Linked DNA regions of Struthio camelus. The protein of the gene in region 3 interacts with the protein of the main gene of each other region in a biochemical or structural test. Links are inferred from orthologs where the notes say so. Each region holds a gene or a part of one and is shown on either strand. Other genes may lie near its edges.

Region 1 (7,492 bases), on a different chromosome or scaffold from region 3:
CCGTGTGCTCCGGCGACTGCTGCGTGCCACTGGCAGCAGGGTGCCAAGCCGAGGAGAGGGCACGGCAGGTGACACATCCTGCTGCACCCCGCCACATCCTGCTGCCACTGGCTTTGCACCCTAACCCATCCCGCTAAGGCCCCTTTTCCACTCCCTGGTCATTGCTCAGCCAGGATATTGGTTGCTTATTTTATTAGAAAAGGCAAAAAGGGAGCTTTTCCACGGATGCCTGCTGGCTTAGCTCATTGCACGGCCACCGCCAGCTGCTTTTGGCTTTGCTTTGCGGGACTTGGCTGGCACTGCTTTGCGGGGAGCCCAGTTCGCACGGCCACTGCTCTGTGGAGCGGGCACTGCAGCAGAGCCAAGACCATGCCGACAGCCTGGGTGGCCCTGCAGGTGGCTCGCCCCATCCCCGCTGCACTGCACTCTGAGTTCCCGATGGGAAAAGTATTGCCAGGGGCACCACAGCTCTGCCCTTGGCTGCCCATGGCTTGGAAATGTGGTGCATTGAGCCTTCGCGGGTCGTTTCTTCTCCCGCCAGCAGGGAAAGGAGCTGGTTGTCCTGGGGATGCCGAGATGCAGGTAAAGCCAGCAGCCACTTCCCTGCGCGATGCACCCGTGGCCTCCGACTCCTGTTCAACGCACGCCGTGGCTTGCTCCCACGTGTCCCAGGCGGCCCCAGCTTGCAACAGCACAGACGACAGCGAGGAGGAGGAGGAGGAGGAGGAAGGCTGTGACGCGGAGGAGTGGCGGTGCCGCTGCGAAGCCGAGCGGGCCAAGGTCCTGCAGCTGGAGCAGCAGCTGGTGACAAAGGTGCGGGAGTGCGAGTGGCTCTCGGCCGCCCGTCGGACAACAGCGCGCAGCCTCTGGCAGCGGGTGCGAGAGCTGGAGCAGCTGCTGCTGGGGACAAAGAGTGAAGCCGGGACAGAGCCGGAGGATGACTATTGCCTGACCCTCCTGGCCGAGCACCTGCGGGAGCTGAGGAGGAGGAAGGAGGAGGCGGCAGGAGGCTTGGCGGCACCGGAGGAAGAGGAGGAGCGGCAGCAAGGTGAGCCAGAGCGGGAGGATGCGTGCAGGAGGCTACGGGAGCTCGAGGACCACTCAGAAAACCCACCAGCCACGATCGCCGCCGCCGAGCAGGCCCAGCTTGACGGGGACGAGCAGCGGCTGTGGGCACCTCTGGCACTGTTCCTCTCCTGGCTGGAGGAAACCTGCACCAAACTGCGGGCGGAGAAGCTCACCGTCTTCACCAGGAGCAAGGGACTGAGGAAGGAGGTGGAGGAAGCTTTGAGGAGCAAACTGCATTATGAGGTGGTGTCGGCCGACGCCGTCCGGAAAAGCCTGGCGGCCTGGGAGAAGCTGGCACTGGGGCTGGAGCAGGCGCTGAGCCACGCCGACGAGAGTCATGCCGAGCTGCTGCGGAGATCCCGGCCCCTCCTGGAGACCCTCCGGGCCCTGCAGAGTCAGCGGGAGCTGGAGGAGCCGCTCGACGGGGCAGCGCCTTCCCGCTCGCCAGAGAACGGCAGGGCCAAGCCAGAGGAAGTGAATCCAAGCCAGGCAGAAAAAAGCCAGAGCCAAGCACGCACGCTGGAGAGAGAGGCCGAAGAGCGGCCGCGGGCCAGGAGCTCCAAGTTGGAGAAGGAGGTGCTGGAGCTCAAGGAGAGCAACGGAAGGCTCCTGGGCGAGCTGGCCCAGCTGGGCCGGGAGCGTGAGCGGCTGCAGGAAGAGCTGCGTGGGCTGCGAGAGCGGGACGCCAGTGCGGCGGCGGCCACCGAGGGGCCTGGGCAGCGGGCAGCCGCCCTGGCCCGGGCGCTGGAGGCCGAGCAGGAGGAGACGACACGGCTGAGACGGCGGCTGGCGGCACAGCGGCGGGAGCTGGCGGTGCTGCGAGACAGCCTGGGCGCCCAGGCCCAGGAAGAGGCCGGCAACCAGCTCCCTGGCGCCTGCATCCTCCAGGAGCTGCACTGCAAGCTGGACGGGCTGGTGAGGACGCAGCACGAGGCCTTGCAACTCGTGTCGCAGATGGAAGGCGAAGGCGAGGCACTCGGGGATGCCCCGCGGCCGCCGGGTGAAAGAGACCCCCGCGGTCGCTGGGACGAGGACGGCGGAGACGGGCCAGCCGCAGGGGCCGCGCTGCGCTCCCGCGAGGAGATGACCCCAGACATCCCAGAGGGCAGCCGGGCGCTGCGGCGGGAGCTGGAGGCAGCCAGCGCTGAGGCCGCGCGCTGGGCCGAGGCTGCGGCTGCCGAGAGGAGGGCGAAGGAGGAGCTGGAGGTGCGGGCAGCCGAGCGGGAGCAGGAGGCACGGGAGCTGCAGGTGACATCGCGGGGGCTAGAGAGGAGCGTGGAGAAGCTCAGCGCCAAAGTGGGTGAGCTCGCCAGGGCCTGCCAGGACAAGGAGGGGAAGGTAAGAGTCAGGGCCCACACACAAGGCTAACAGGAGGAGGCAGCCCCTTCCCATCACCATCCCCTTGCCATCGGTATGTCCTTGCCATCGTTATGTCCTTCCCATCGCCGTTCCCATCACCATCACTTGCCCATCACCGTCCCCTTCTCATTCTCTCCTTCCCATTGCCATCCCTTTCCCATTGCCATCCCTTTCCCATCATAATCTCTTTCCCTGCCCATCAATATCCCCTTCCCATCATCATCCCCTTCCCATAGTCATCACCTTCCCGTTCCCATCATTATCCCCTTCCCAACACCATCTCCTTCCCATCACCGTCCCCTTCCCATTGCCATCACCTGCCCGCCAACATCCCCTTCCCATCACCATCCCCTCCTCCTTCCCAACACCATCCTTTTCCCACCATCATCCCCTTCCCATCGCTATCTCCTCCTGATAAAGCCAACCTGATCCATGGAAATGCCTAACACCCAGCAGGAGCGAGAATTTCCCGTTGTGCAAAAAGATCTCAAAGCGCCCATTTCTCAGCCAACTTTGGGGGGGGGGGGGCAGGCAGGAGGGTTGAGACAACTCCCGGGGGTAGCAGCGGGGCAGGAGCCAGCCCCCCGTTTTTCCCCGTCGGCTCCCAACTCTGCTCCCTGCTGCCTGACGCCAGATCAAGCAGCTGCTGGCGGAGATGGAGAAGCTCTCAGCGGAGGTGCTGGCAGTCCGCAGCGAGAGCGTCCGGCTGCAGCTCCGGCTGGAGGTGGGTCCCCGGCACCCGGCATCGCCCGCCAGCATTGCCTGGCATCGCCCACCGGCATCGCCCACCGGCATTGCCCCGGCTCTGCTTCCAACCTCCTTTTTTCCCACCAGCTCCAGCAGAAAAACCACCAGGACATCGTCACCATCTACAGAACCCACTTGCTCAACGCCGCCCAGGTAGGAGTCGGAGGCATCTCTGCCCTGGAGGGTGTTTTGGGCTGAAATGCTGCAAAATGCAATTTTTAGCCAGCGCTGGAGGCTGGGACGGAGTCTGGGTGCAGCGGGTCCCGGCTGAGCTTTGCTCCGGCAGGGGTTCATGGACGAGGTGGTGCACGGCATGCTGCTGCGGATCCTGCGGACGGGGGACGCCTGACGCCGCCGGGACGGATCCCGCACGTGCCCCGAAGCCATTAAACGGGAAAAGCTGCTCTGCGTGTGCTGCCTTCCTCCGGAACGGGATGGGGATGGGGACGGGGATGGGGACGGGGATGGGGGGGCCGGGGGGACCAGGGCGGCTGCACCCACCACCTAGCGCCGGGGGCATAGGGCACCCTGGGGGTGGCGGGGCTGGGTGGCCCCCTGGCCCCAGGACTAGTTAGTGGTACTGGTCAGGCCCTGGGCAGGACTAACCAGTGGGACTGGTGAGGCCCCAGCCCCAGGACAGAACTAGTTAGTGGTGCTAGTCAGTCCCCAGGCCAGGACTAGTTAGCAGTGCCGGTCACCCCCGGGCAGGACTAGTTAGCGGTGCCAGTCATCCCAGGCCAGGACTAGTTAGCAGTGCCAGTCACCCCTGGGGAGGTCTAGTTAGCGGTGCCGGTCAATCCCCAGGCCAGGACTAGTTAGCGGTGCCGGTCAGTCCCCAGGCCAGGACTAGTTAGCGGTGCCAGTCACCCCTGGGGAGGTCTAGTTAGTGGTGCCGGTCAATCCCCAGGCCAGGACTAGTTAGCGGTGCCAGTCACCCCTGGGCAGGACTAGTTAGCGGTGCCAGTCACCCCAAGCCAGGACTAGTTAGCGGTGCCAGTCACCCCTGGGGAGGTCTAGTTAGCGGTGCCGGTCAGTCCCCAGGCCAGAACTAGTTAGCGGTGCCGGTCACCCCCGGGCAGGACTAGTTAGCGGTGCCGGTCGCCCCGGGCAGGACTAGTTAGCGGTGCCAGTCACCCCTGGGGAGGTCTAGTTAGCGGTGCCAGTCAGTCCCCAGGCCAGGACTAGTTAGCGGTGCCGGTCGCCCCCGGACATGACTAGTTAGCGGTGCCGGTCGCCCCGGGCAGGACCACTCGGCGGCGGGGCGGAGTTGCGCGACGCTCCCTGCCCGCCCCCCCTCCCCCGCGCGCCGTGCGGCTGCGGCCGGGCGCGGAGTTTGCCTCGGCCCCTGGCGCGCGGCTGCCATGTCCCAAGATGGCGGAGGCGGCAGAGCTGAAGGTGCCGCGGGGGGGCCGCGGGGCCGGGCTGCGGCGGTGTGGGGTGGGGTGGGGGTGCCGGGCGGGGAGGCTTGGGGGTGAGGCATTCTGGGGGTGCGAGAGGGACAGCGGTGGCCGTGTGGGGCCAGGGGGCTGGAAGGCTGGAGCCGGGGGGCAGGAGCCGAGAGGCTGTGGGGCAGGAGCAGGAGCCAGGACCCGGGGGGCTGTGGGGCAGGAGCAGGGGCCAGGACCCGGGGGCTGTGGGGCAGGACCCAGGGGACTTTGGGGCAGGGGCAGGGGCCAGGCCCTGGGGGGGCTATGGGGCAGGACTCGGGGGGCTGTGAGGCAGGAGCAGGGACTAGGACCCGGGGGGCTGTGGGGCAGGAACTAGGGGCCTGTGGGGCAGGAGCAGGGGCCAGGACCCAGGGGACTGTGGGGCAGGGGCCGGGACCCGGGGGGGCTATGGGGCAGGACCCAGGGGACTGCGGGGCAGTGGCAGGAGCAGGGGCCAGGACCCAGGGGCTGTGGGGCAGGAGTAGGGGCCAGGAACCGGGGGATTGTGAGACAGGGGCAGGGGCCAGGACCCGGGGTGGCTATGGGGCAGAACCCAGGGGACTGTGGGGCAGAAGCAGGGGCCAGGACCCGGGAGGCTGGGGCAGGAACTAGGAGGGCTGTGGGGCAGGAGCAGGGGCCAGGAACCGGGGGCTATGGGGCGGGGGCTGAGTAGTAGGAGCGGGGAGGGGCTGTGGGGCAGGGACCAGGCGTAGGAACCAGGGGGGCTGTGGGGTAGGCAGCGGGGCAGGACCCAGGGGTGCTGTGGGGCAGGACCCGGGGGGCTGTGGGCCAGGAGCAGGGGCCAGGAACAGGGGGCTGTGGGGCAGGAGCAGGGGGGCAGCGGAGCAGGGCTGAGTGGAAGAAGCAGGGGGGCTGTGGGGCAGGAACCAGGTGTAGGAACCAGGGGGGGCTGTGGGGTAGGGCTGCGGGGCAGGAACCAGAGGGGCTGTGGGGCAGGTCCAGGGAGCTGTGGACCAGGGCTAGGGGGCAGGACCATGGGGCAGGGCAGGGGGGACTATGGGGTAGGAGCAGGGGGCAGCGGGGCTGGCAGAATGAGGGGCCGGATGCTGAGGCTCGCCCCAGGCTCAGGGCTCAGGCAATGCGTGGGGCTGGGGGAAGGGTTGGGGGGGTGGAGTAGGGTGATATGCTGGACTGTGGGGCAGCAGGGCTGCAGGTCCTGCGGGGTGGGGATGAAGAGCTGGGGGCTGGGGGGGGGGGCAGAGGGCTCAGCCGTGGGGGTCTACAGTGGAGCGGGGGCGTCCGAAGGGGTGCAGAGGGAGAGCGGGCAACGCCGGGGGAAGAGGCGGATGGACAGACGGGGACGGACGAGGAAACCGTGGGGCTGAGCGGCAAGGGGGCTGGGGCCAGGGCGGCGGGGGGCTGCGGAGGCAGGCGCAGAGACCGCCCGGGCGAGAGGGTCACGTAGGAAAGGGGGTCGGGTTTTGGACGTCGGCACGCTGAGCGGCGGATGAGGCTGCTGAATCAGGCAGCGACCTCCCGTGCTGTTTGCAAAGAGGAGGGGGCTGGAAGATTTTGGGGGGCTCAGGCGTGCGACGGAGGTTCAGAGAAAAGAAGTAGAAACCTGAAGGAAGGGAGAGCCAAGAAACGGAGCAGTTCAGACCCTCGAATGAGGTAGGGGAGTGCGGAGAGCGCAGAAAATAACCGGTAGGCTGGAGAGGGGATGAAGCTTGAGGCAGATCTTGGGGCAAGACGATGGTATAGCGGGCCGGGGAGCTGCGAGATGCTCCTGGGGTTTCGTAGGGGAGGAGGGAGCGGAGAGCGTGTAACATGGTAGTGCTGCACCAGTGCTCACAGCTGGATGGGGTTTCATCTCCCTCCACTCTCTTTTTCTCGTTTTTAGGAGTCAGAGTGTGTAACCACCTTTGCCCACCAGACTGTGGAATATGAAATTGCCCCTGGTAACTAATTCCAAAGCTGATTTGTGTCCTTGTTGGCGTTTAATATTTTTTCCCACAGGCTGGAATATAGATCTTAGCTGGCTGAAGTGGCCTAAGAGTCCTGCCCCCTTCCCTCTGCTGGGAATAGTAAGACATTTGGGAACTGGCACCTTCTTGGCAGCCAGCCACAGCAAGAACATAATTCTCTGGAGCTAGTATGTGTCTGTAATCTTTCCAGCAGCGGCCCGTCCAAATTTTGATACTGCTTTATGGTGTGATTGTTCTCCTTCCCCTAAAACTCTGTGTGACCTAAGCATGACTACAATGGGAGCCCTATCAAGTGTCAAAATGTTAACAGTATTTGTGGAGAAATTGGATCCGATAATTGTAATTGGGTGAATTGGAACAGCGCAGAACTTGAGCTCCAGAAATGCTTTTTATTTGTGCCGTTTCCCAGCATTCCAGGCAAGGTGTTAATGGCAAAAAGACCCACGTCCCCAGGCTCAGGTGAATGAACGCAGGGGCGCAGGCCCTGGTCCCGCTTTGACCCGCTGTTGCGTTCAGCAGGATGCATGTAAACGGTGCTGCTGCCCTCAGTGTGGCTACTCATCATATGCACTATAAAATAGCACATGCGTAATCCTGCAGTTTCAGGCCATAGCTAGCAAATGGCAAAGCTGAGTGCAACATACAGAGGGCAAAGTGGGTGTAATGTCCTTGGCATTTTCCACTCTGTTCCCTCTGCAGATAAATCACTGCAGAGGAATTGTGTTTTAAGGAGAGATGAAGCTTAGCGCATAGGTTTACATTCTCTGAGGTTTGGCCCACCTCTGAGATCCTCTAGTGGTCTTCCAGACTTCAGCCCTTTCTCTGGAGCCTGGCATTATTCAAGGCTCTCTTCAGTTTATTTTTAAATCTGTGCTCCCTTCCGGCAACTGAATTCTCTTGTCCATCTCCCCTAAGCCCTTTTTAGTTTACTAGCCAGGAGTTTAA
Region 2 (7,685 bases), on a different chromosome or scaffold from region 3:
ATAATGATTGCCCTCTTTCCTGCATTACAACTTTGGTTAAGTTTTTGTTTTGGCTTCCCCAGGGAATAAGCAACACAAGATTTTGCAAGCACAGAGCAATGCGCCAACATGTAACAGTGACACAGAGAATAACTTTTAAATGATGATTTAAAACGTCTTTCGCTTTAGAAGCTTCCTGAGTGGTGGTGGTCTTGTTTCAAATGGCTAAACTGTTTTCTGCAAAGCAAAAGGGCCTAGGTAAAAATGTTCCAAAATGGGTTTTAGAAATGGGAGTCTAGAGAAACTCTTTTCCAGGGTTAATTACAGAAGCTCTGTGTTGATAGCATTTACAGCATTATATTTGTACTGATGGTTTTAAAGCAGTGCTTTGTTATGGCCGATATAACAGGTTACACTTTTGGGAAAAGAAAACCAAGAAGTCCTGACTTGTACTTCCCCAGCTGTAACCCATAGAGCCATAGTATAATTAAGGTCCCAAATAAACGATGCATTTAATTAAAGACAAAAACAAGCCTATTGAAAATTGAAGGAAATAATGAGCTATTTCTCGTACATGATCTTTGTATACAATAAAACACGTGCTAAAGTGCTTTGTGGTTGGCCGATGTTTTGTTTTCCTTTCATAAAAATGGGAAGACAAGGCGGACTGTGAGCAGGAACACATTTTCTATCCAACAGGCGGTCCTCAGGAAGGCAGGATCACTTACTGATTTAAGAGAGAGGGGAAACGAAGCTTGATGTGTGCTGTTGCGCAGCCTGTGTCACTTTCTCTTTTGGGTCAGCACAGCTGTTCGTACATCTCTTCACTGAACCATTTTGGGGAACTGATCTAGCAGAAAGATAACTGGTTTGGGGGGAGGGGAAGTTGTAGTTATGTTTCAGGTGGATCAGTTCTCCAGTGCTGCTCACCATGTGAACGCGCAAGCGCTGGTAGCATTGCAGACAGGACCAAGCACCTGGAGGTGAAGACTCCCTAGAGAAATTAAGCAGCACAGCTGCCAAATGTTTAACGGTGAAACCCTGTAAGGTTGTTAAAAAACGAAGAGCCTCTAACTGGAAATAGGATGACTTTCCAGGGAAATATATATATAGTTATGGCTTATACTATTTAAGTAACTTGTAACGAATAACATAAGCAACAGGAACCAAAAAATAAGAGAAATATTATTTCAGCTCTTGCGGCTCATAAGCAAATGGGATCGTGCAGCATTCATTTTTCTGTGAACCAAAAAATTCCATTTATGATCACTTCTCTTTCTGTGCACTGGTATCATCAATAAGACTAGCAAGAAAATGCTTGCAGCTCTGGAAGCAGGACAGCTGAATGATCACTGCAGACTAGCAATAGGAGTTCAGAAATTGAAGACTGTGGGCTCTGTTAAGGTGGCATGTCTCAGAACCAATACTTTAAAGGCACAGTTCTGTAGGACATTAGAAGAAATTACAAAACTAAGACAGAAAGTCTCCTACATGGTTCCTTTTGTGCTCTAACGCTGCAGGTATGACAGCTTTTGGACCTTGCCCTGCCATGCCTAATTCTCTGCTAGATGCACACAGAAGTCACCTGGGTTCCAGGCCATGGGAGTTGAGGGTAGAAAAGGAACAGTGGATCGGATCCCTAGAAACTAAGTAATCTTCTTTTTCATTTTTTTCTGTAATGGTAATTCTTTATTATATTATAGACACGAAGGAATACTACTATCATCAAGTCAAGAGCTCTTTGGAAATTGTGGCCCTGACAAAATCCTTATTGTTTTCTGATGAAGTATGAATTCTAGTTTCGTTCTAAATGTACTTAATATAGAACTTGTGTTGCAAATGGAACATGAAACTCAATTCCGTCTGTTCTTCAGCAATACCATATGTACTACAGGATCATAACTTGCAGTGCCGTGTTTCAGATTATGTCAGTACTTCAGTGATAGATGCCTGCCTCAGGAGTGGATTGCTCAGCCTCATTTTGGAAAAAAACAAAAACAAAAAAAAAGGAAGTGGGAAAAGGAGGAGCCTTTAAAAGTGATTGTTTTGATGGGGGGTGCGAGAGGGAAGAAAAGACATTCTCATCCTGATTTCAGCTAGGATTGGGCAAAAAGTAAAACTGATTTTGAATACGTTCTTTTTGGACCCATTCTGACTGTCAGGGAAATTTTTCCACGGAGTTACATGAAACACGGCCAAGACTTGAACACGCGGTTGCAAGACATAACAGTAAATTTTTGAAAAAATGCTAAATTGAAACAAGTATTTTCAAAGTATTCAAGTATTTTCACGTTCATATCTGAACGTTACTCGAGTAGTGCAGCATACATCAAAAATACAGTGTAGAAGAAGCTGTTAAAATTGTATCAGAAAAATTAATGCAGGTTACATGCCAATATACTTAAGGTCATGGACTGATGCAAGACTATATATTGGAAGTGAAGGGCGGAGAAGCTCGTCTGGCACTCTGGCACAGCAACACAACAGAAAACTTGTCTTAAATAAACAAACTACTATCGTTACCAATCTCACATGTAGCCACCAGTCTGAGTGCAGATAAAATTTGCACTCAGAAAAGTAATTTGCAAGCCACTTCAGATCTCGTTATATTATTTGCATAGTGTCTTGTCTTTTGCACAATAAATTATTTGGGAACATTAATTTTAAAAATTGCTTAGTCCACTTCATGTATAAAAGGCAAAAGCATTAAAATTGATACAATCTATGAGCTACGAACCTCAGAGGAGCAAATATTGATCAAAATGCCACATCTCCTGCACAGAAGGTACAGTGCAGTAAGGCAGCATTTGCGCGTTGTCAGGAGTTGTGCGATATCTGATATTTTTCTTAGTCCAAGATCTTGCAGTGATGTTATTACCTGACAATCTTAGCTTTAGAAAGACTAGTTCTCTCTCTGTCTTGAGGGAGAAAAAAAAGAATTAGTGAATCTTAAAGGCTCAGGCTCTGTGTGACAAATGAGTAGGAGCGACAATTCAGTTTGTTGAGATAGGCTCCCAAATCAGGATTTTGAGGTACGCAGGGTTATCGTTACTGCGCTGCTCTGGTCAGCGTTTCTTACAGATTGCTGTAAGCTTCATCAATTTAAGAAACCAAACCGGGACACAAATACCATATGTAGTGCAGGTATTCCAAATGTGAGATGGGTTCTTCTGTCATCCTGGCGCCTGGCTCCATTTAAATGTGTTTTAGACACACAATAACCAAAATAACCATGTGCTGCAGAATTTAGTGAAACTTTTTTTTTGTTTGGAGGGGGCTGGTTGTCGTTGGTTTTTCCTAGCCCAGCTCATGACCTGGGAAGAAGAACTGCAAGCCTGAGCCATGTGCAGCAGCAGCAGCGGCAGCGGCAGGGGCAGGGGCACCCCGCGAGTCTGCAGGCAGAATCTGGCAGCGGGTGGAACAGCTGTTGTCAGAGCCAACCCCATCTATCAGCCACCAGAAACACCCCGTCCCGGCGGCCTGCAACACGAGGAAGGCAGCTTGGCTTCACGCCGACCTGAACACCCTCTGGGCTTTCTACGACAGACTTCCCTTGATCCTCCAAACTCTGCTCTTTCCTTCCCTTGTCCTGACTCCACGGACTGGAATAAAAAAACGATAGTAGCTTTCCCAGTAACACTTATTTGCAGTGCCAGAATTCACTGTGGATTGCTGAGAACTGAAATCCTCCCTATACATGATTCGTTAGCAGTGAAGCAGTTAATGACATTCCCACTTACTGTGAGCGCTGAGCATGATCGCTCACAGCTCGCTGAGCTAAACGTATAAGCGGGGAGGGAAAGGGGAAGAAACGCAACTTCAGCTTCGAGCACTGTTTCAGCTTTGTTGTGGATACAAGCAACTAGTGCTGGAACGGGTCAGAAACTTCTGGTAAAACACAGCCTCCCTACAACATGCCCGCTTCTTGAAGGAGAAACGTGGAGGACTTGACACTTGGCAGACACTGGCCCACCCGGTCCGGCCAGCCGGGACGCCCTGGGCCTCGGGCACCCCACGGCCCCTTTCCCCGGAGGGAGAGGTCAGCAAGTGGGGAGGGATGGTGCCCCGGGGGCCCAGCTTCTCTGCCGGAGTGAATGATCCGCCATGTCACCGCTGCTGTGAGGAGAAGGGGGATCCCCCCGCCCCGAGCAGCTGCTGAGGGCCAGGGAGCTGCCGCCGCCCCCCCCCCCCCCCCACCTCAGGAAAACTTCACTTTCTCTCCAAACGCAGCCCGCGCTCCGGCTGACCCTGCCGGGCGTTAGCGCCACAGCGTCACCACAACAGGCAGCGACGCCTGCGGGCGGCCCTAGACACCCAAACGCCCCGCAGGAGAAGCCTCTGAACCCCCGGTTTCTGTTAGCAGCGCGGGGCCAGGCCCGCGGCGCCAAGATGGAGGCGGCCGCGCAGGGGGAGGAAGGGGGCGGCCGGGCTGCCGCGCTCTGCCCGGGGGAAGCCGGGCGGCGGCGGCGGCCACCTCCGCCAGCCGGTTAGGCGGGGAGCAGCGGGGGAACGGAGCCAGGCCGGCGGGGCAGGGGCAGGTGCGCGGGGCGGCGACGGGTTGGGCGTGAGAGCGGGGCCTGAGCGCCTCGGCGCTGCCCCATGGCGGCCGCCCGCCTCGGCGGCCCGCCCGCCTGGCGGTGACTCGGGCTCCTCCTCCTCCTCCGCCTCCTCCTCCGCCTCCTGTTCCGCTCGCCCAGCCCGGGCCCGGCCCAGCCGCTGCCGCACGGCGCCGCCGCCGCCGCCCGCCCGCCGAGCCCGGGTCGCAGCCGGGAGCCGCGCGGGGCCATGACGGTGGAGCAGAACGTGCTGCAGCCCGGCGGCGCCGCCAAGGTGAGAGCCGAGCCCGGCCCGGCTCGGCCCGGCCCGCTGCGCCGCGGGGCGCCGCCCGCCTGCGCCGGGGCCCGGCCGGCGCCATCCGCACCGCGTCCCTGCCGCTGACCTTACGGCGCTGTGAGGGCAGAGCGGGCCCGGCCCGCGCCGGGCTGCAGCTGCGTGGCCTGCCCGCGGCCAGGCCCCTGCGGCGGGGACGGGCCCGGCCGTGCCGCGGCCTCTGCCCTCCCCGCGCCGCGGTACCGGCGGCCGGGGGAGGAGGGGGTGGGGGGAAGGGTCGCAGCGCGGCTCGGCCCGGCTCCTGCCGCCGTAACTTTGGGCCGCCCCGCCCGCCGGTGTGCGGGGCCTCGGCCCAGCTGCCCCCCGCGGCCGGGGCCTCCTCGGGGGCGGCAGCGTGAGTGACCCCGCGGGGCTCGGGGGCTCCTCGGCGAAGCAGCGAAACCGGAGGGGGAAGAGGAGGAAGGGCGGCGGGGAGGTTGGGGGGGGGGGGGGCGGCCGCCAGCTCGTACCCGAGCCCCGGGTGTAACCGGGCACGGGGCGAGAGAGATGCTGCGTGTGCTGGACGTAGCTGTGCCGCGCTGATACCAGCCGGTGCTAAAAGGTGACAGCTATTTTGGGCGTATGACACGCAGCGAGCTGCGCCGCGGTCTTGGGGAAGTGAGGGGGGGTGGGTGGGCAAAGGGGGAGGTGGGTTTAGGGACTCGTCTTAATATGCGCTGTGAAACGGGGTTAAGGGAGCGGTGGCGTTTGGGAATCTGGTAGCGGGGGCCAGGAGTTGCTGGGAAATGCCTCTTTGTCAAAAATGGATGCCTTCTGTAGCGGTTTTGGGGGTTCAAGTGAATTGATAGGAGAAAAAGAAAAATTACGTTTTTTTATTAGTGTTATTTTCAAGGTAACTGTTGCTTGTTAATGCACCCCTTGGAGGTGTGAAGGCCTCCTTCCCCGATTTTCCTGTATGGCACATGAGGCTTTTGTGAGAGGATAAAGGTTTATTTACTTTGGTGTAGTGAGTCTGGAAGTGTAATGGCTCATAAAAGTGGACAGTGGCAACGCAGTGGTTAAAGTATAATTGGTTGAAGTGGTACAACTTAACGTTAAAGAAGCCCTTTTGGAGGGCGAGGCATACATCTCCCAGGGCTGCTTCCGCAGTCAGCGCGTGTTTTGGCAGCTTCAGTAGGAAGGTAAAGGCTGAATGGACTACATTTGTCTCTTTATTCCTTAGTCAATGCTGATTTAAACTGAGGTGTGCTAACAGGCTAGTGTAGCAGCCTTTTGCTGCCCGGTTCAGTGTTACACGTCTTCTGTGTTTAAGAACTTCATCTGCTGCTACTGTGTAGCTGACGTCTTTCCTGAGCAGTATGTTCTTTTACAAAACCTGTTATTGATGGTTTACTTAAATATCCCTTAACTATTGTATTGGATGTTCTGCTCTATAATACCTGACAAACACTTGACAGAAAATGCAAACAGACAGCTCTGACAATAATGCTGAAAAAGAAATGTTGCTGTTTTCAGTAAAACTACTGCTTGCAGCTTAGTAGTTCAGGATTACTTTAATTTCAAATCAAGAATAAGCTTGAAGGGTGGTTAGGGATTGATTCTTGTACGTCAGCTAGTAATCCATGCTGGAATAGAAAGTTTAAATTGGCCAGAATTTTAAAATGAAATATCTCCCTGGATGATGATTAGTTGCGTGAATATCTACAGAAACTGTGTAAAAATAACAAGCTTTTTTCATGGCAGGGATTTCTATTGAATCATCTGATTATTGCTTTATCTGAAACTCATTGTAAACTGCTTTCTACTTAAGTGCATGCTAGGAGGGGAAAAACAATCCTGAGAATATTTTGGAAAGATATTATTTGACTGTGAAGTGAGTCTCTCATTGCTCAGTGAGAGTAATAAATAGCTAATTAGATGAGAACCTTTTAACACATTTCTTAAATGAAAATAATCTAAATAGGAAAATGATGAGATTACAATGGACTGAGGCTTGACTGAAAGAAGGAAAAATTACTGTGCCACTACTTCTTTTCCTTCCCTCAAAAGGAGAGAGTCCCACACTCTGTAAATAAGGAGAGTTTGTTCTGGAGACCTCAGTTTGTCATGATTGTTTTGTGTTAGTGTGAAGAAACCACATGCAAACAGAAATATATTGGATTTCCAAGAGACGTGTGAGTCATCGGCATACCTTATTCACAACTATGGTTTCCAACATTGTTCCTCAGATGTTTTCGTACTGTCATACAGGAAGTATGTGTCAAGCTTCAACAGTGCTTGGAGATTCAGGCTTTTATTAATACCTGCTCTCACTACAAACAGCCCATTTCCCACTGAAGCTATCTTTAGTTTATTGCATCGTTAAAGAATCGGGATCAGTTCAAAAGTCAGCCTTTCTTTCATGTTACTGGTCGTTTTGACTCCAAGTTAAAACTTATAATTTGTCTCATAAAGCGAATAACTAATCATGTTAATCTTTTTGTTCTCAGCACTTTTTGTGTGATTCTGTAATGCTGCTAGGTGTCTATGGGTTATCTGTAATGTTCGTATTAAGATTGAAGTGTTTGAATAGAGGTGAATTGGCTTTCAGTTTTTATAGGTAGCTTCTGGTGCATCCTGTCTGTATTTCTGCCTGGTAGAGTATTTTTGTCAGGCTTCTTTTCTTTGGAAAAGCCAAATAATTTGTATTGCTTGATTCCCTCTATTCCACACAGTACTGAATTGCTGCTGTGGGTTTGTTAAAGTTGGTAAATGTGCCTGTACGTTTTTTCTGACAGAGGAACACAGTCAAAGACTGTCACTCTTACTGTGGAGAGCCTTGTACTGTTCTCTAGGTCAATATCTCTTAGACCATGGGTGCAACCAAGGGAGGGAAA
Region 3 (7,425 bases):
TCTTGCCCATGAGGTAGGCGTTTAGAAGACCACATTTAAACACTGCTTCTTGGTGCCTAGTGCCCTCTAGCCGCTTCGCATACACATCACAGCCAGACCCCAAATCCCAGCTGTTGACACCTGCAACTGAGTGTTGCAGCACTCCTGCAAAGAAACTTCTTCATTTCTCTTTATGCTCCTCCTCCTACTTTTGCTTTATATCTATCCTGGTTTCAGGGATTCAAACGTGCTATTTTCAGCCCTTCCTGGTTTCTGTAGAAGATTAAAAGAGGGCTTGGCTCCCAGCACAAGAGGTTCAACCCTACCTGGAAATACTGCCTTCTCTCTCTCCCTCTTTTTTTTTTTTAAAAGAAACTCAGAAGGTGCAGTATATTAGCTAGTGTGAACAGCCACTGATCTAAACCTCCAGGGAGACAGTGATATACTTTAGTTCCCCAGTTGCAAGCAGGAATGAAAATGGAAGTAATATGCTTTTAGATACATTTTTACATGAGGATTAGTCTTAAAAACCCTCTTTGCCTGAACTGCGCAGCTACACCTCAAAGAGGAGGAAAGGTTTCAGGGTAGACCAAGGAACCATAGGGCTCTGTAGAGCCCCAACGATGCAGTTCTATAAGTTAGGGTAAAATAAACTAGTGCCTTGCTCTCCTTGTATCTGCACTGGTGTTTGCACAAGCCAAACCCAAAAAAGACTAAGCTAGGTTGAAATAAAGCAAGTGCTGTCATCAAACTCCATGAACAATCTCATCATGAGACTGTACAAGCATCAACATCCAAAGCAAGAGAAAAGACAGATGATGGGGCACACAGCACCAAAGCAGCTCTAGCAACTCATTTAAACCATCATGGAGCTGCAACCTCTGAACCAACACATCAGGAGCTTGCCAGAGACTTGTGGTCTGTTCCTCCTAGCCCCATGTTCTCAACACAGCAAGAAAGGCAGAGCATGTGCTACACCTGTGGGCAGCTGATGCCAGCTCATCTGGCCCATGTGCTGAGTCTGCCAAAGAGCTGACAGAAACACACGCAGGTCAAGGCACCCTGCAGATTTGCTTAGCATGCTGCATGGCTCCCATGCACCTCTCCTTACAACCAGGAGGTGCTGTTAGCCTGTGAGCAAAATGAGTTCAGTAGAAATAAGGGAAAGCACTTAAGATGCTTTTCCCCAGGACAGGATGTCTCCAGAGATTTCAAGGAGGGCACAAAGACAGGTACCTTCTCTCCCACCAAATCTGTTCTCACTGGTGGAAGAAAAAGAAACAGCCATGTGCAATCCCTGATGGGACCATGGAGAAAGCTCTCCCTCTCAAGTGCCTTTAGGCTTTGCATTTCCAGGACACTACTACAACTGCAGCCATCTTTCCCCGCGCTGTGCCTCTCCTTCTTACCCGAGATCCTCTTTACAGCACTCACTCTTCAGCTTCATGTCTCACCTCCCTCCTTCTCCTACTGTGTATGTCACAAGGAAACCAAACAAGGCTGACGTGTAAAGTGACTTTTTGAAAAACCATTTGACTTGAGCACACTCCTTCCCCGTTGACGTTTCCGCCACAAGTTAATTACAATACCTAAAGCTATCTTACTTCTGTTGCAACTCTCACAACTCCTTTCCGTTAACTTACCCTCCGCCGGAAACACACCACACAGCGCTCCGCAGACAGGACGGCAACCCACTCCTCCCCGAACACGGTCCACATAACTCGTTTTTTTCCCCTTGGCGGTGATCAGCCCAGCGCCACAAACCCCGAGCGGCGTTTTAAGACGAAAGTGTTGCGAAAAGAGCAGCCTTCCGGGCCCTGAGCCGGGCGGGCACTTCCCGCCACGCCACACCGCGGACCGCTACCGAAGCGCCGCAGCTCGGGGGCTCGGCCGCCCCCGCGAGCGGGTCAGGCCCCCCGGGCAAGGCCTCGGGCCGAGCGAGGCGCGGACCCCCGGCGGCCCGCAGCCCCCCCCCCCCGCGCCTCACCTTGAAGATGGCGTAGCCAGCGGCGGTCTCGAACAGCACCAACATGGCGGCGGCGGCGCCAACGGCCGGAGCGGGGGCCAACGGCCGCTCACGGGGGGGTGGGGAGGGCGCGCGCGGCCACGTGGGCGAGCGGACGGCAGCCCTCAGCCCAGCACACGCGCGCGCCGGAACGGGAAGTAGCCACAGCGGAAGTTATGTCACGGGAGGGGAAGGGGCGGGGCCGCGGGCCGCCCCCCGCGCCGGCGCTGCTGGGTCCTGCGGGCCGTCGGCCGGAACGGAGCCGCACACCGTCGGTGTCCGCTCCCTGCGCTGACCGAGGCGGGGGAAAAAAGGCGCACGGAAACAGCAGAAATATGTCCCCTGGGTGGGAGACAGGTCTGGGCGCGTTCCCGGCCAGGCTGCCGCTCCGCCGTAAACAGAGCCTCGTTCCCCAGCCTCGTCTGCGCGCACGTCGGCATAGGGCTGCGGTCTGCCTTCGTGAACGCGCGCTTTCCTCTGCGAGCAGAGTTAAACCAGCCCAGTCCCCGGTGTGGACGCGGCGGCTGCGTGCGGCGCTTGCCCGCCCTCCGCCTAGGCCGAGGAGAAGGGGGGAGGCGCTCAGAGCTCGGTGCCGCTGCGGGCGTCCGACAGCTGCTCCCTTCTGACAACGGAACGCCAAACTCGCTGCATTTACAACAGGCGTTTCGAGGCTCCCGATTTCCCCGCGCGGTGCTGCCTGCCCAGGATCCGGTGTTTCCGGGGAAGCCGCAGCTCAGCCCGGCCCTGCCGCCTGCCGCCTCGTCGCACTGCGCCCTCCAGCGCGTCCAGGGGTTACTGTCCCAAAGAACAAATTATAGATTAAACATGATTTACCTTCTTCCTTTTAATAAGGCATATTAATACTTACTGCTAGCACTAGCTGCTCTCGAACAAATACACTAGTGTTACGAGATTATGGATTGTTCTCAGGTTAAAGCCCTGTTTTGTAGGAAAACTATCTGCAGGCTGAAGAGGCTTTGTGCAGGCTAGGTAGGCTAACGCTGTCCAGAAAAACACTAACAGCTCCTCTGCTTTCCACACAACATTGGTCAAGTTAATTAGCAGCAAGCTGAATGAACGGAGGTGAAATTTATTAACTTCAGGTGATTGAGATTAGTTGCAGATGGGGAAATTAGAGAAGTTATAAAATACCTGAGGATTAAACAAAGTTATTAGTGGATGTAAAGTAGTCTCAACATCAGCTGTAGCAGCAAGGGCTACTTTGAGTTCTGTAGGAAGAAGCTCATGTATGTATATTTAGTCTTTTAAAAGCATGTTTTTGTTGGGCTTTAAGGGTGCTGCATGTTGGGTTTGGGCTGTAACAGAAGAAACGTGTGACTTTTGTAACCCTTATAGGTTGAATTGAGACTAGCTGCTAGGGAGGTGCTGTGCAAATATAGCTTGTACCCTGAGCACATACATATCTGTAACCGAAGTGAATAAAAAGTGTATAAAGAGGGGTATTGTTATTAAGTTTTAATAGTGGTATTTAAATTTCAACTGTGTGTGCTATGCATGGGGAAGAGGGATAACTGGTGATTTGCATGTTACTCTTATTATAGAATGCATAGGAAAAGGGGTACAACTAGGAATTGCATTCAGATTTTATGCTAGAACTTTAAAACTGTCACCTTCTATCCGTGGGGCTAACCTCCCTGCTTTTAAACCTGTCCTTTTGTTTACTGCTAGCAGTGGCGTTTGCAATAGGATCAAGTGTTTGTCATCTCCACTGTTCACCTCTTGGGTTGCTCCAAGGCTGCGAATGGTTCTCGGTGGTGGTTCCTGCAGTGCTCTTGACCTGGTGACGAGGAGGAGGTCATCTTCCCCTTCGTCACCTGGCTCCGCGGAGTGCGTCGCCCCGTTTTATTTAACGCCTTCTCCCCCGTTAATTCTGTGCGGCTCGGTTGGCCGCTGCAGGCCTGCCTGGTGCGATGGCCGCGTGCGTTCCCCGACGGGTCGGCTTCGTTAGCCCCGGTGGCGCTGGTGGGCCCTTCGCGCCTGGAAACGCTTCTGCCTCTCCTTGACTGGAGTTAAAACCTTCTCTGGGGGGAATCAGGACGAGAATCCCCTGCTGGGGGGGGAACACAAGTAGGGTGGGTTAGAAATTCACTGAGTTTTTCAGAAATCCACGGAAACTCGCAGAATTTCGGGGCGCTTCCCGACCCCCCCCCGGCGCTGGCCCTCCTCGCCGGCGGCGCAGAGCGAGGCGCGCGGCCCGTCCGGCCCCGGCTTCCAGAAGGTTCTGGCGGGCGGCGGCGGCGGGCGGCGGCCGGGGCTGGGCGCGCCGAGGGCCCGGCCCGGGGCTGGGCGGGGAGGAGCCGCGGCGGCGGCGGCAGCGGGCCGGGCCGGGCGGGAAGTGATCTCAGGCGCACAGGAAATCCCGCCCGCGCCGCGGCCTGTGTTTGTGCTGCGGCGGAGAGAAAGGGAGCGGAGCGCCTGCCGCGGCCCAGCCGAGCCTGCCGCACGCGAGGGGGCGAAGCCATGTCTGACCAGGTACCGGCGGGGCTGGGGGGGGGGGGAGGCGGGCGGCCCGGCCTGCGCCTCGGCCGGGCTCTGCTCGCCAGCCCCGAGGGCGCGGAGCGGCCCGGCCCGGGGCGGCTCGGCGCGGCGCCGAGGCCCTTTCCTTTCGTTTTCGCTGTCCCGGCCGTGAGGCAGGTCGCTCTGCCGGGGCGGGATGGCTCGCCGGGCGTTGCGGCGCGCAGCCCTCCGCGCTCGGCGGCGTGAGCTGTCGGCCGGCCGGGAGTTAACGCGGCACGGCAGGGTGGTTTTGTTCCCCGCCGTGCCCTTATTTCACGCGTTGCCCCCCTCCCCCCCCCCCAAGTGACAGCTTTGTCACGGCGGTTTGACTTCGGGGGAAATCAACGGCAGCGCCGGCGAATGTTTCCTGCCGTGCCGGGAAGCCAAGGGTAGTATTAATGCAAGTCATGAACTGAAAAATTATTCCGAAACCACGGTAAATCTTAGGATATGCTGTTGCCCCCGTTGAGGAGTAGCCTTGGCACCTTGTGACCCGCGAACAGAAGTCACTGCTGTGTGAGCTGGGTCCGTGCCCCCCCCCCCCCCCCCCCGACTTTGGAGCACAATGAAACTCTTGGTGGTGTTACTGCCTGGCTCTGCCTGCGAGAGCGCGGCGAGCGCTAGCTCTCATCAGGACGCGTTTCCAGTGCGGTAACAGGCAGGCGAGTGTCTGCAGAAAAGGAAGAAAAAAAAAAAATCAAATTATGAACGAGATTCTGTGGACTGCTCTTTATGTGGCCTGTTCTGTCGCTCATGTTTGTGAACTGATGAGGCACGTTTTAACACATAACAGCATTCATTAAGTAATTCCTTCTCCAGTCCAGTCCTGCTAAGGTGTATGCATGTTCATTCTTCTTTGGGACTGCTTGAAGTATGTAAAATTCATTGTATGTGAAAGCCTTTATTGGATATGTGTCTTAGAGGCACATATCCCAGAAGGTGCATTGGATAAGGGCCCTATTTTTCTTTTTTTTTTTTCCTTTGGAAATGCCTGTGCTAAACATTATCATATGTTTTGGCATTGACTGCTGGGGTAGAGGGACTGTGTAACAAGACCTAAACAGATGTACAAGTAACAGTATAACATAAAGTGAATATCGCCTAACCATAGATCTCATTTCTCTCTTTATCAATGCTACTGGAATAATCAGGTTGCCTGAAGTTGTAGGTTGTTTACAATAGCCTCCTTCTTGGTCCTGGAATCAAGATGTTAAGAGGATGATCTCTGTCAGTAGTTATAATTCTAGCTCTTTTTTCTTGTTATGTAGATAAAGATGCATAGTTGGTTTAGTTTCTTTATTCTCAATTACAAACTAACTTACTCGATTTAAAAAAAAAAAACTGTAGCAACAAGGGTAAACTTCTTAGAACCACGTGGCTGCTTGGTGGGATCGCAGCAGAAGGGGAAAAAGAGAAGTAACCCCCCCCCCCCCGAAGTCTCAGGCTGTTCTTATTCTCATTCCATCTAGATGAAAGCATTTTTATCTCTTTGTGTACTGTGGATAGGAAATGCTGTGGCACAATTGTACATACTTTCCTATTCCTGTCACAAATGTAAGAGTTTGTTTGCTGAGCTGGGGATGCACAGTGTAATCTTCCTCCTCTTGCAATTTTGATGCCAAAAGATGGTCTCAAGTATGCTGAGCAGGGCCTTTTTTAGGCTTGGATAGTGAAGTTGGAATGCTTCAGAATAATAGTAGATACAGTTTGTTGTTGGAGGGAATTTGCAATAAGTTGCCTTACAATGTTTATTTTGTGGTTCCATTAGTGGCAATAGCAAATACCTGGCACGCTGGGTTGCATTTCATCCAGGGAACTTTGAGTGCTTTGCAGTCATGAATGCGGTGTTAATATAATTGAGACAGTATTAGGGACCTTATTTTGTGCTATTTAGGAAAACTGTGGAATGAAGCCTTTAGAAATTTAGGAGTCTAGTGAAAAGTTAAACTTGGGGTGTTGTGGTGTTTGGGTTTTTTTGATGTAACCATTTCTTTAGCAGTTCAACTAAAAATCTGGATGTTTGCTTGTGGATCATGGATTTTGTTAATGGATGCTCGTAATTTAGTAACTTTGCAATCTACTTGCTTCCTTTGTTCTTAAGTATTTTTCTGCTGGCTTTTCTATTTGGCATTGAATGGCAGTATAGTTAGCACTGACAAAATGCAGGGAGCTGTTTTAGACTTGCTGAGTCTTGTTGTATTCTGTTTTCAAATCTTCTGCTTTTTTTAACTACCATTACTGGCTTTTTCAATGCTGATTTGATCCTATTTCTTTTTTTCCTGAAATTCCAGCTCTACTCTTTGCGTTTTTTTTTTTCATGGACGAGGGGTTGTTGGGGCTTTAAACATGCACCTTTATGGTAGGCTGATGTTTTAAGCCTCTACTTTCTACTGTTTGCTCCTTTCCCTATTGGTGTCTAGTACGTGAGTTCTCTGTCCCCAAGGGTAGGAATCAAACATTATGAATCATTGCTTTCCACTCATATTGGCTAGAGGTGCTGTTATAGTAGCAATGATGATTTGTCATACCTTGTACAGAGTGATTTGTTACGGAAAGCTATAAGAGGTAGATCTGCTATAATGCACAGAACTGGATAAACTGCTATGAAGCCCTTTACTGCTGGGACAATACGCTGGTATGCAGTTTAATTCTTATGCAAAGCAGAATAAGATACTGACTTGAAATTTCATGTGAAGAGATGGGATGTTCTGATAAATTCCTTGGGCAACAGCAAAACAGGAGGCAGTTATAAAAGTTAGAGTTTGGATTTGTAGAGATCTGAATCTCTTCTGCATCCCTAGAGGTTAGTAATCCTACATACAGACCAAAAATGTTATTTGTGCAAGCCGTCCATATGAAAGAGATGAGACAGGTCTGCAGGACAGATTGCAGTTTCTTTTTTTTTTCCCTCTTTGAGTCAGGAG
Region 4 (7,409 bases), on a different chromosome or scaffold from region 3:
GTAAGGTTCTTAGTAAGGTGGTTACTCTGAATGCCTGAGTAGCATTTACAGAGCAAAATAATTCTGTTGTGTGGCATGGATACAATTCTCCAGCCTGACAGGCTTGTTTATTGAGAGACCTTGGTGTGCCAAGACCTATGGCATGTGCACTGACGTCACATGACGCTTTTTGGTTTGTGGTCCCGTTGTGGAAGTCTTAGACAAAGCTCTAGTTCCTTCTTATCTCAAATGTAGCTAGATACTATTTTTTGTTTTGGGGGCTTACACAATTTTTATATCTTATATTTAGATAAACATCAATTTTACTTAAGAAAAAGCAATTTTGTTGAAAGAGACAGCTGTAGGTAGAACATCTTTTCATACTGATAGTTACAGGAGAGAAGTAGGTGCGTGATGTGTTAGCCAAGGGAGCTCCCTTGGATGCTGCTCCTGGAATGCTTTTACATCTTTAAGCTTTTTTCCCCTTATTGATTATTTGAAGTAGGCGGACAAAGGAAGTGTCCGTGTTTCCAGCTGGGTTGTTTTGGAGGTGTGTTCCCTCAATGAAAAAATGCGGGGATGCACCTGCTCACGTGGCTGCAGCACGAGCTGAACCAAAGGGTTGGGCTGATGCGATCTGGTGGGGCGGGAAGTGACACAGGTTTGGGAAGTGTGGAACGTTAACGTGGCCTCTTGGAACACCTCGGTGCCGCTCCTGGCTGCCGCGCACAATCCAGTCACCTGTCATCAGGCAGCACCATCCTCTGTGGGCTTTGGGGAAGGTGAGCTGTGGTCACGAGACCTGGGTGAGGGCTGTGGGTTGGAGGGGAAGCGTACATAATGAGACAGGCAATCCTCAGGACTAATGTAACTTTGGTCGATAAACGTGTTTGGGTTGCGTCGTCCAGCAGGAAATGTCAGTTCTATGTTTATAGATTAAAGTTACCGTCTAAGCTCCATGAAGGTCTTTACAGTGAGTCAAAAGAGAAATCCTCTGGGGAACTGTGAAAAGTCAAGTTTCTATAAAGCTTATTTCTACTCTTTGAACAATCTTTCTAGTGTCTTTGCCCTCTCTTTGAAAGGGAGAGAGAGAGAGAGAGAGATTTATATTTAAGATGTTACCTACATGGCACGACATACCGAAATGCACATCATCCTCAAAACAAACTAGTTTGTTTGATACTGGCGTTTGTTGCATCTGAAAGAGCCTTGCAATCACAGCTTGTTTGTCACACCAAAATTATTTGTAATGAGTGGTTTAATCTTTTTTTGGCTAGGTAACTTCAGTATCTTATACACTACTGTGATGTTTGGAGGGGCCTACGTTTCCTGGTACTTGAAAGCGTAACTAAACACCTAGTTACCTGTAAGTGCAGCTTGCAAACTATCCTTTAGTCTGCCCTTGATCTGTATATAATTTGAACTAACCTTATGTTTGCTCTTTTTTTAATGCAAAAGGAAATAAAAAATTATTTTGCCTGTTTTGATAAACAGCCAGAGGTCGGGGCGGTTCCCTCCTGGAGACCATTAGGGCTATTTTGCTGTTGTTTGGGGACTAACTTTTGATGGTGGCTTCTGTAGCTTGCTGAAGGTGCAGTCGTGCTGATGTCCCTGATCTTACTGCTCCGGCCAACAGGGAAAAAAGCAGGAAGTTTTCCTCATGCAAAGTGCTTTTTTGCATCTTTGCCTTTCAGCTTTGCTAGTATAGCTAAGTCAGAGAGCGTTTGAATTGTGATGAGGCGAGGTGTGACAGAAAAGAATTTAATAGTTGCTGCTTCCCCCCCTCCCCCATTTACTTTGTGTTTGACAGCGCTTAATTTCTTTCCCTGCTATAATTAAACGGCCTGTCCTAAGATTAGGACAGCAGCGCAGTGTGGGCCAAGGGCTCTTGCGTGGACAGCGCCTGCGCTGGCAGTTGCACCGCTGCTGGTATAGCTGCGTCGTGTCCTCAAATAAAACACAGATATGTTGGAGGAGGGGAGACGTTCGGATTGCAGCGACATGAGAGACTTTTGCCAGCATGGCTGTCTGTCAGGATCTTACTTCCTCGCAGCACTGACTGACATGCGGTACTGGCAAAACTCTGTAGAGGGGTGTGTGTGTGTGTGTGTGTGGCGGGGAGGGTTAAGGCATTGCCTTCTTTTTATGTGGGTAAGAAAGGTTTGTCAGTAAAATATGAGACTGTAATAAAACAGCAAAACTTTATTGCTCTTTTTTCAGGACTGCATTTTTAATTGATGTATCAGTGCCCATAATGTGGCAAATACAATTTTTCTCGTTCTTCCTTTTAAGGAATTTTTTCAGAGTAGGGGAGAAATCTGAGGAATTTTATTTATTTTGGTTCACAAGTCTGGCTACACAATGGACCCAGTTTTTTGTATACTTATTTCTAGCTTGCATGTAACTTCAAAATGGAAACTATCCAACCTGTAGCAGAAGTTTCCCAGTTAGCTCATTTATTTCTTGCTCGTTTGCATTTTCTGCAAGCTGGGCCTGTAGGGTTGTAACAAAGCGAGAGCGCAGGGAAGCTCCAGGAGACTTGGGCTGCTGAGGAAATGACTGTTAACAGGGAAGGTAGCAGGCATAAGCCTTTCAGCGGTAACTACGTGTTCTGTTGAATGTTTGTAAAGCATTAGAAACAGTGCTTTTCCGTGTTTCAGATCTATTTGTTTCACTTTCCTTTTCAGCTGTCAACACTTCAGATTGTAACTGAAATGCCTTACTTTTTTAAGACATTTCTTTCCTTCTGAAATACCTCATCTGTTCTAGTTAGTAGATCCATGACAGTCCTGGAGCTGAAAGTGTGAAGCAGGTTCTCAGGATACTTGGAGAAAAGGTGCCAGCAAAACTGTGTTAAATCTAAAGTGTTTGTGGTATTCTGCAACAATATGTATCTAAAATTTGCCACAAGGTTCTTCGGTTCTATTCATGTGGTTCAGTCAACAGAGCAGAAATTTTGTGGCAAATTTAGTTAAAATGATCTGGTTGCATACTTCATTAAATACATGAATCATATAGTTTGAGGGTTTTTTTAATAACTCGATCTGTTTCAGTGTCTGGAAATGCTTGTTGCGAATACCCCCTTGTCGATCTCCTGCAGGTGCTGAAGGTTTGAGGAATTGATAGGAGTTTATGGTGGTTTTTGCTAAAGCATGGTAGTATACTTTCCAATATTATCACTTTAGGTTTTAGAGTTAATGGTAAAATAACTTGGGTAATGTATGTGTCTGAATATTTCAAACAGTTTGGAGAACTGGAGAGGATAAGAGTATCTGTACTCTTTAATCTTAAAGATCATTTTTGCAAATGCAAGTGCTGGTTTGGATATTCAGCAAATAGAAAAGAGTAATCTTTAGACTGCTTTCAGTGGTTGGGAAGTTGCAGAACCTCGATATGCCTAATTGGTTATGTTGGTCCTATATATACGCTTCAAATATGATGTTGAATTTGTTTTGGAATTGACTATAAAATATTCAGAGTTTTTTAAATGGTTTTGTGCAGAAGTCCTAGATAACCAGTTGTGGTAGTGGGTAGGGGGCGTTTTATTTTTCTTTGACTGCTTGGGAATCCAAAACTGTACAGAAAGATCACTTCAGCTGATGTCACAGGCCTTGCAATGTTAAAAAAAAAGTCCCTGTCAAGCACTGAAAGAAGCTTTAAAAGAGACACTAGGCTCCTAAGTTGAATTTTTGGCCGCTATTTGACCAGTGGGGAAGTACTTTAGCGCACGCGGATGATTGCTGGTTTCACTGCTTTGCCTAGTTTTGTTTCCTCAGTTCCTCAAGAAGTGAAACAGCCTAGATGTCTTACAGTGTGATTCATTAGGCCATATTGGGAGACAGACCGTGTAGAAACACGTGGTAACTAATGGAAGGCAAAGCCCAACTCCCCCATCCGCAACAGGACAAGCAGCTGTGAAGTGAGAGAAGAGGGATGAGTAAGGAAATTGCTTAATTTATATTGGAGATTGGATCTGAAGAAGTTTCCTTTAACCCAGTAATGATCATATGGACTTGCAAAAAATCAGATTACAATTTTTCTAAGTGTCTTTAACATCAGTCACTTCTCTGCCTTCCTTTGAACCTGTGCTGACTGATTAGTTACACTGCCTGGCAAAAAGTGAGAGAGGGACTTGAAAGTGAAGTAGGGTGTCAGAGTGAAGGGTTGCTGCAGTTTTTAAGTGCAAGTACTGGAGACTTGGGTATTGTCAATGTGTAACTTTTTATTCCTCTAGCTGGAAGTCATAAAGCTTGTTAAATGTTGTAGGTGTTAGGGGAGCAGTGATTAGAACATTGGTACATTAAAAGCCTTATGTCTTGTACTGGCAACTTGTCCTTGTCTCAAATTTTTACCTCAGAATTGCTGTCCTGAATTACCTATTGCAAAAGAAATTCCTTTAAAAAATTGCTGATTAGACTTTCAAAGTCAATATATCTATGTGTGAACAAGTCCTGTTTTATGTTGTATTTCAGATCATCAGTGGGAGAAGAGCAGTAATGGTATGCCTTTAAAAATTGTATGCTCACCAGGATTAAGCCACATTCTGATGTTAGTGTGTAAGATGATGTAACTTGAATACTAATTTTTTGTTTTGTTTCTTTTAAGCAAATGGTTATGAGCCTTAGAGTTTCTGAACTGCAAGTACTTCTGGGTTACGCGGGGAGGAACAAGCACGGACGAAAACACGAACTTCTCACAAAAGCACTGCATTTATTAAAGGCTGGCTGCAGTCCCGCTGTACAAATGAAAATCAAAGAACTCTATAGGCGAAGGTTCCCTCAGAAAATCATGACGCCTGCAGACTTATCTATCCCCAGTGTACACTCAAGTTCCATGCCAGCAACTTTGTCTCCGTCTACCATTCCACAGCTCAGCTATGATGGCCACCCCGCAACATCACCATTGCTTCCCGTTTCACTTCTGGGACCTAAACATGAACTGGAACTCCCCCATCTTACATCTGCGCTCCACCCTGTCCATCCCGACATCAAACTTCAGAAATTACCTTTTTATGACTTGTTGGATGAGCTGATAAAACCTACAAGTCTAGGTAAGGCTGCAAACGTTGTAATAACAATATTTGAAAACTTTTTAGGAGTAATGGATGAATTCAGCTGCTAGTGTACTATCTGGTTAAATATTGCATCACGCCACTGTTTAGAGAATTGCTATTTTTGGTAACTTTTGGAACAGATTGTTCTACAACACATGGAGAGACATCTTACGTAACGCTCATTAGTTGCTCTAGCTGAGCTACTAAGTATGGTTCAAAGTTCCATTATGTTTAAGGGGTGAGTTTGACAAGAAACAAACTAAACCTTGGAAAAAAGAGAACTTAAAGAAAATATGAACTACTGAAAGCAGGCAGTTAAACTAAAGAATGTAATTAAAAAAAAACCCCAAACCCTAAGTCCATCAAACCCAAGAAATCTAGTTGTCTGTGCTGTGAAAGAATGTCAGACTAGGTATTTGCTGTGATCCCTTATGGTTCTAACATCTGAGTTTAGGAACACTTGTGGTTCTTCTACTGTTTTGACTGTTTTGGTTTTTTTTTCCTTTTAAACTCTTGTATTAACCTATAAAACACTTGTGTAGCTGCTGAGAATATTCTGACGCTTACTGAGCGTTATATAACAATGTGTGATTTTTCTGGCTCTGACTCCGCATAACACTTAAGAGTGTGGTTAACTTTTAATACTCTTAAATACAATAGTGTGGTAGATTTCTGGAGGGACTGCTTGCATGTTGGAACGTTCTGCTGTTTTGAAACCCTGGAAAAGAATCACTTTGAGAATAGCTAGTAGGGGGAGGAGGGTATTTGTAAGGGCAGATATGGAGGGATGGTGGGTGAGTGAGTGAGGAGACTGTGCTTTGTGAAAGAGAACACTCCTAAACAGCAACGAGCAGGTAATTTCTATTAATAGACTAGTCTGCTACAGGGATGAAGGAGAGGCGTGTGAGTAGCGGTCTGTAAACTTCTGAAGTGTGATCACCTGCACAGTTGTTTGCATATTTTTTGTTTTAACCTGTTAAAGTTGAGACGTTGAGAGAGAGAGCAGTTGATAATCTCTGGAATAAAATGAAGTGTCGCTTATGGTTCAGATACTCTTTTAAGAGGTATACTATATATATTTAGCTTTAGTCTAAAATCTAATTAATTAATAAGCATTCCAGGCGGTGCTGGCGGTGCAGGATAACTGGGTAGTCAGAATGTGTCTAATCACTTTTATATTATAAATACTCCAAAAAATAATGGTATAATTTCAATAAGACATTCCAATGAAGGAGTTACAGTATGCATTTATTCCTAGAAATGGTAAGAACACTTTACTGTCAGCTTCATGCCTGACAAACCAGTCGTAAATTAAGAGATCATAATTCACACTCTGTCATGCCTTATTGCTTAAGGAGTTTATATACAATATGGTATTTTTCCCCTTTGTGGGCTCTCAGAATGTCAGGGTAGGAAAATGGAAGAAGCTGAAATTCCAGCCAAGTACCTTTCAAGCACTGTCTGTCCTTTAAATTAATAACTTATGGGTATGTTTTGTGTTTTGGTTTGCATCTGCATCCTGTGCTGCCTTTTTGCCTTGCTTATCTGAGGCAGTACTACTGAAAAGTTATTTTTCCTAAGCTTGTTGGGGAAGAGAGAGCTTCAGTGTCTATGTGAGAAACAGTTGTGTTGGTTGCTTTTGGTAGTGGTTAAGTAATGTTGTTGCAGATTATAAAATTGCTAACTACAAATGTCATGAGGATATTTTTAAGTAATTAATGTATATGCTAATCAAAAAACCCCATTGGATTAAAACCCAGTGATATACAGTTTTATACACTTTCAAAACAACTTAAAGCAATTTTGCATACAGGTCAGCAGTTTTAAACGTAAATAATGTGGACTTGTATCTCTAATTACAGAATGCAAAAAAAGCTTTGTTTAAATTTCTCCATATATACAGTTACTGATGTTTTAACTAAAAACAACATTGAAGGTTTTGCTGAACATTTGCCTCAAATGGTTGGGATATCCTCCTCACTGCTGCAAACAATGTGGGCTTGGCATTTAAATGTCAAACTTCTGAGTCCTCTGCCTTTGTTTTCAAATGGTTGATGCATAGTACAAACCTTCTGAACTTCTCCTTGGCATCTGGCCAGCACTTCAGGGTCTCCTGCTTGCTTTTTCTCCCCGGATTCCTCACAGGGGGATGCAAAACTGGTTTCACTCTCCTTCCCTCCACTACAAGAACAAATTGATGACCTGAGCTGGGATTTTGAATGATTATCTCCCTGCTTAAAGTGGAACCTGCTAATAGTCCCTGGAATGGATAAAATGCACATGGGTGCGTGTGAGAGAGAGAGAACAAGAGCAAGTGCCATTGATTTCAGGATCATTGGATTCTTCTGATATGATGGTCATTACAGAGAAGTTAGAA

The links.
Region 1: the proteins of SUMO1 (region 3) and PIAS3 form a complex in vitro, tested with the Homo sapiens proteins (2 studies listed by BioGRID and IntAct, with this or other methods). The link is inferred for Struthio camelus from reciprocal best matches to the Homo sapiens genes SUMO1 and PIAS3.
Region 2: the proteins of SUMO1 (region 3) and USP25 form a complex in vitro, tested with the Homo sapiens proteins (2 studies listed by BioGRID). The link is inferred for Struthio camelus from reciprocal best matches to the Homo sapiens genes SUMO1 and USP25.
Region 4: the proteins of SUMO1 (region 3) and PIAS1 form a complex in vitro, tested with the Homo sapiens proteins (6 studies listed by BioGRID and IntAct, with this or other methods). The link is inferred for Struthio camelus from reciprocal best matches to the Homo sapiens genes SUMO1 and PIAS1.

Annotation. Positions count from the first base shown.
Region 1 is NC_090971.1:3,179,960-3,187,451, reverse strand, and holds the start of PIAS3 (E3 SUMO-protein ligase PIAS3), read left to right. Parts: upstream 1-4,483; 5' UTR 4,484-4,545; coding exon 4,546-4,569; intron 4,570-6,115; exon of another isoform or gene 6,116-6,233; intron 6,234-6,462; exon of another isoform or gene 6,463-6,505; coding exon of another isoform or gene 6,506-6,520; intron 6,521-7,492. Other genes in the region: ANKRD35 (ankyrin repeat domain-containing protein 35), read left to right, coding at 1-68, 542-1,791, 1,828-2,406, 3,062-3,151, 3,262-3,327, 3,461-3,523. UniProt on the Homo sapiens protein: Functions as an E3-type small ubiquitin-like modifier (SUMO) ligase, stabilizing the interaction between UBE2I and the substrate, and as a SUMO-tethering factor.
Region 2 is NC_090942.1:113,035,097-113,042,781, forward strand, and holds the start of USP25 (ubiquitin carboxyl-terminal hydrolase 25), read left to right. Parts: upstream 1-4,676; 5' UTR 4,677-4,764; coding exon 4,765-4,809; intron 4,810-7,685. UniProt on the Homo sapiens protein: Deubiquitinating enzyme that hydrolyzes ubiquitin moieties conjugated to substrates and thus, functions in various biological processes including inflammation and immune response.
Region 3 is NC_090947.1:9,968,928-9,976,352, forward strand, and holds the start of SUMO1 (small ubiquitin-related modifier 1), read left to right. Parts: upstream 1-4,291; 5' UTR 4,292-4,465; coding exon 4,466-4,477; intron 4,478-7,425. Other genes in the region: NOP58 (nucleolar protein 58), read right to left, coding at 1,623-1,697. UniProt on the Homo sapiens protein: Ubiquitin-like protein that can be covalently attached to proteins as a monomer or a lysine-linked polymer.
Region 4 is NC_090953.1:2,280,435-2,287,843, reverse strand, and holds the start of PIAS1 (E3 SUMO-protein ligase PIAS1), read left to right. Parts: upstream 1-4,400; 5' UTR 4,401-4,415; coding exon 4,416-4,478; intron 4,479-4,584; coding exon 4,585-5,029; intron 5,030-7,409. UniProt on the Homo sapiens protein: Functions as an E3-type small ubiquitin-like modifier (SUMO) ligase, stabilizing the interaction between UBE2I and the substrate, and as a SUMO-tethering factor. Catalyzes sumoylation of various proteins, such as CEBPB, MRE11, MTA1, PTK2 and PML.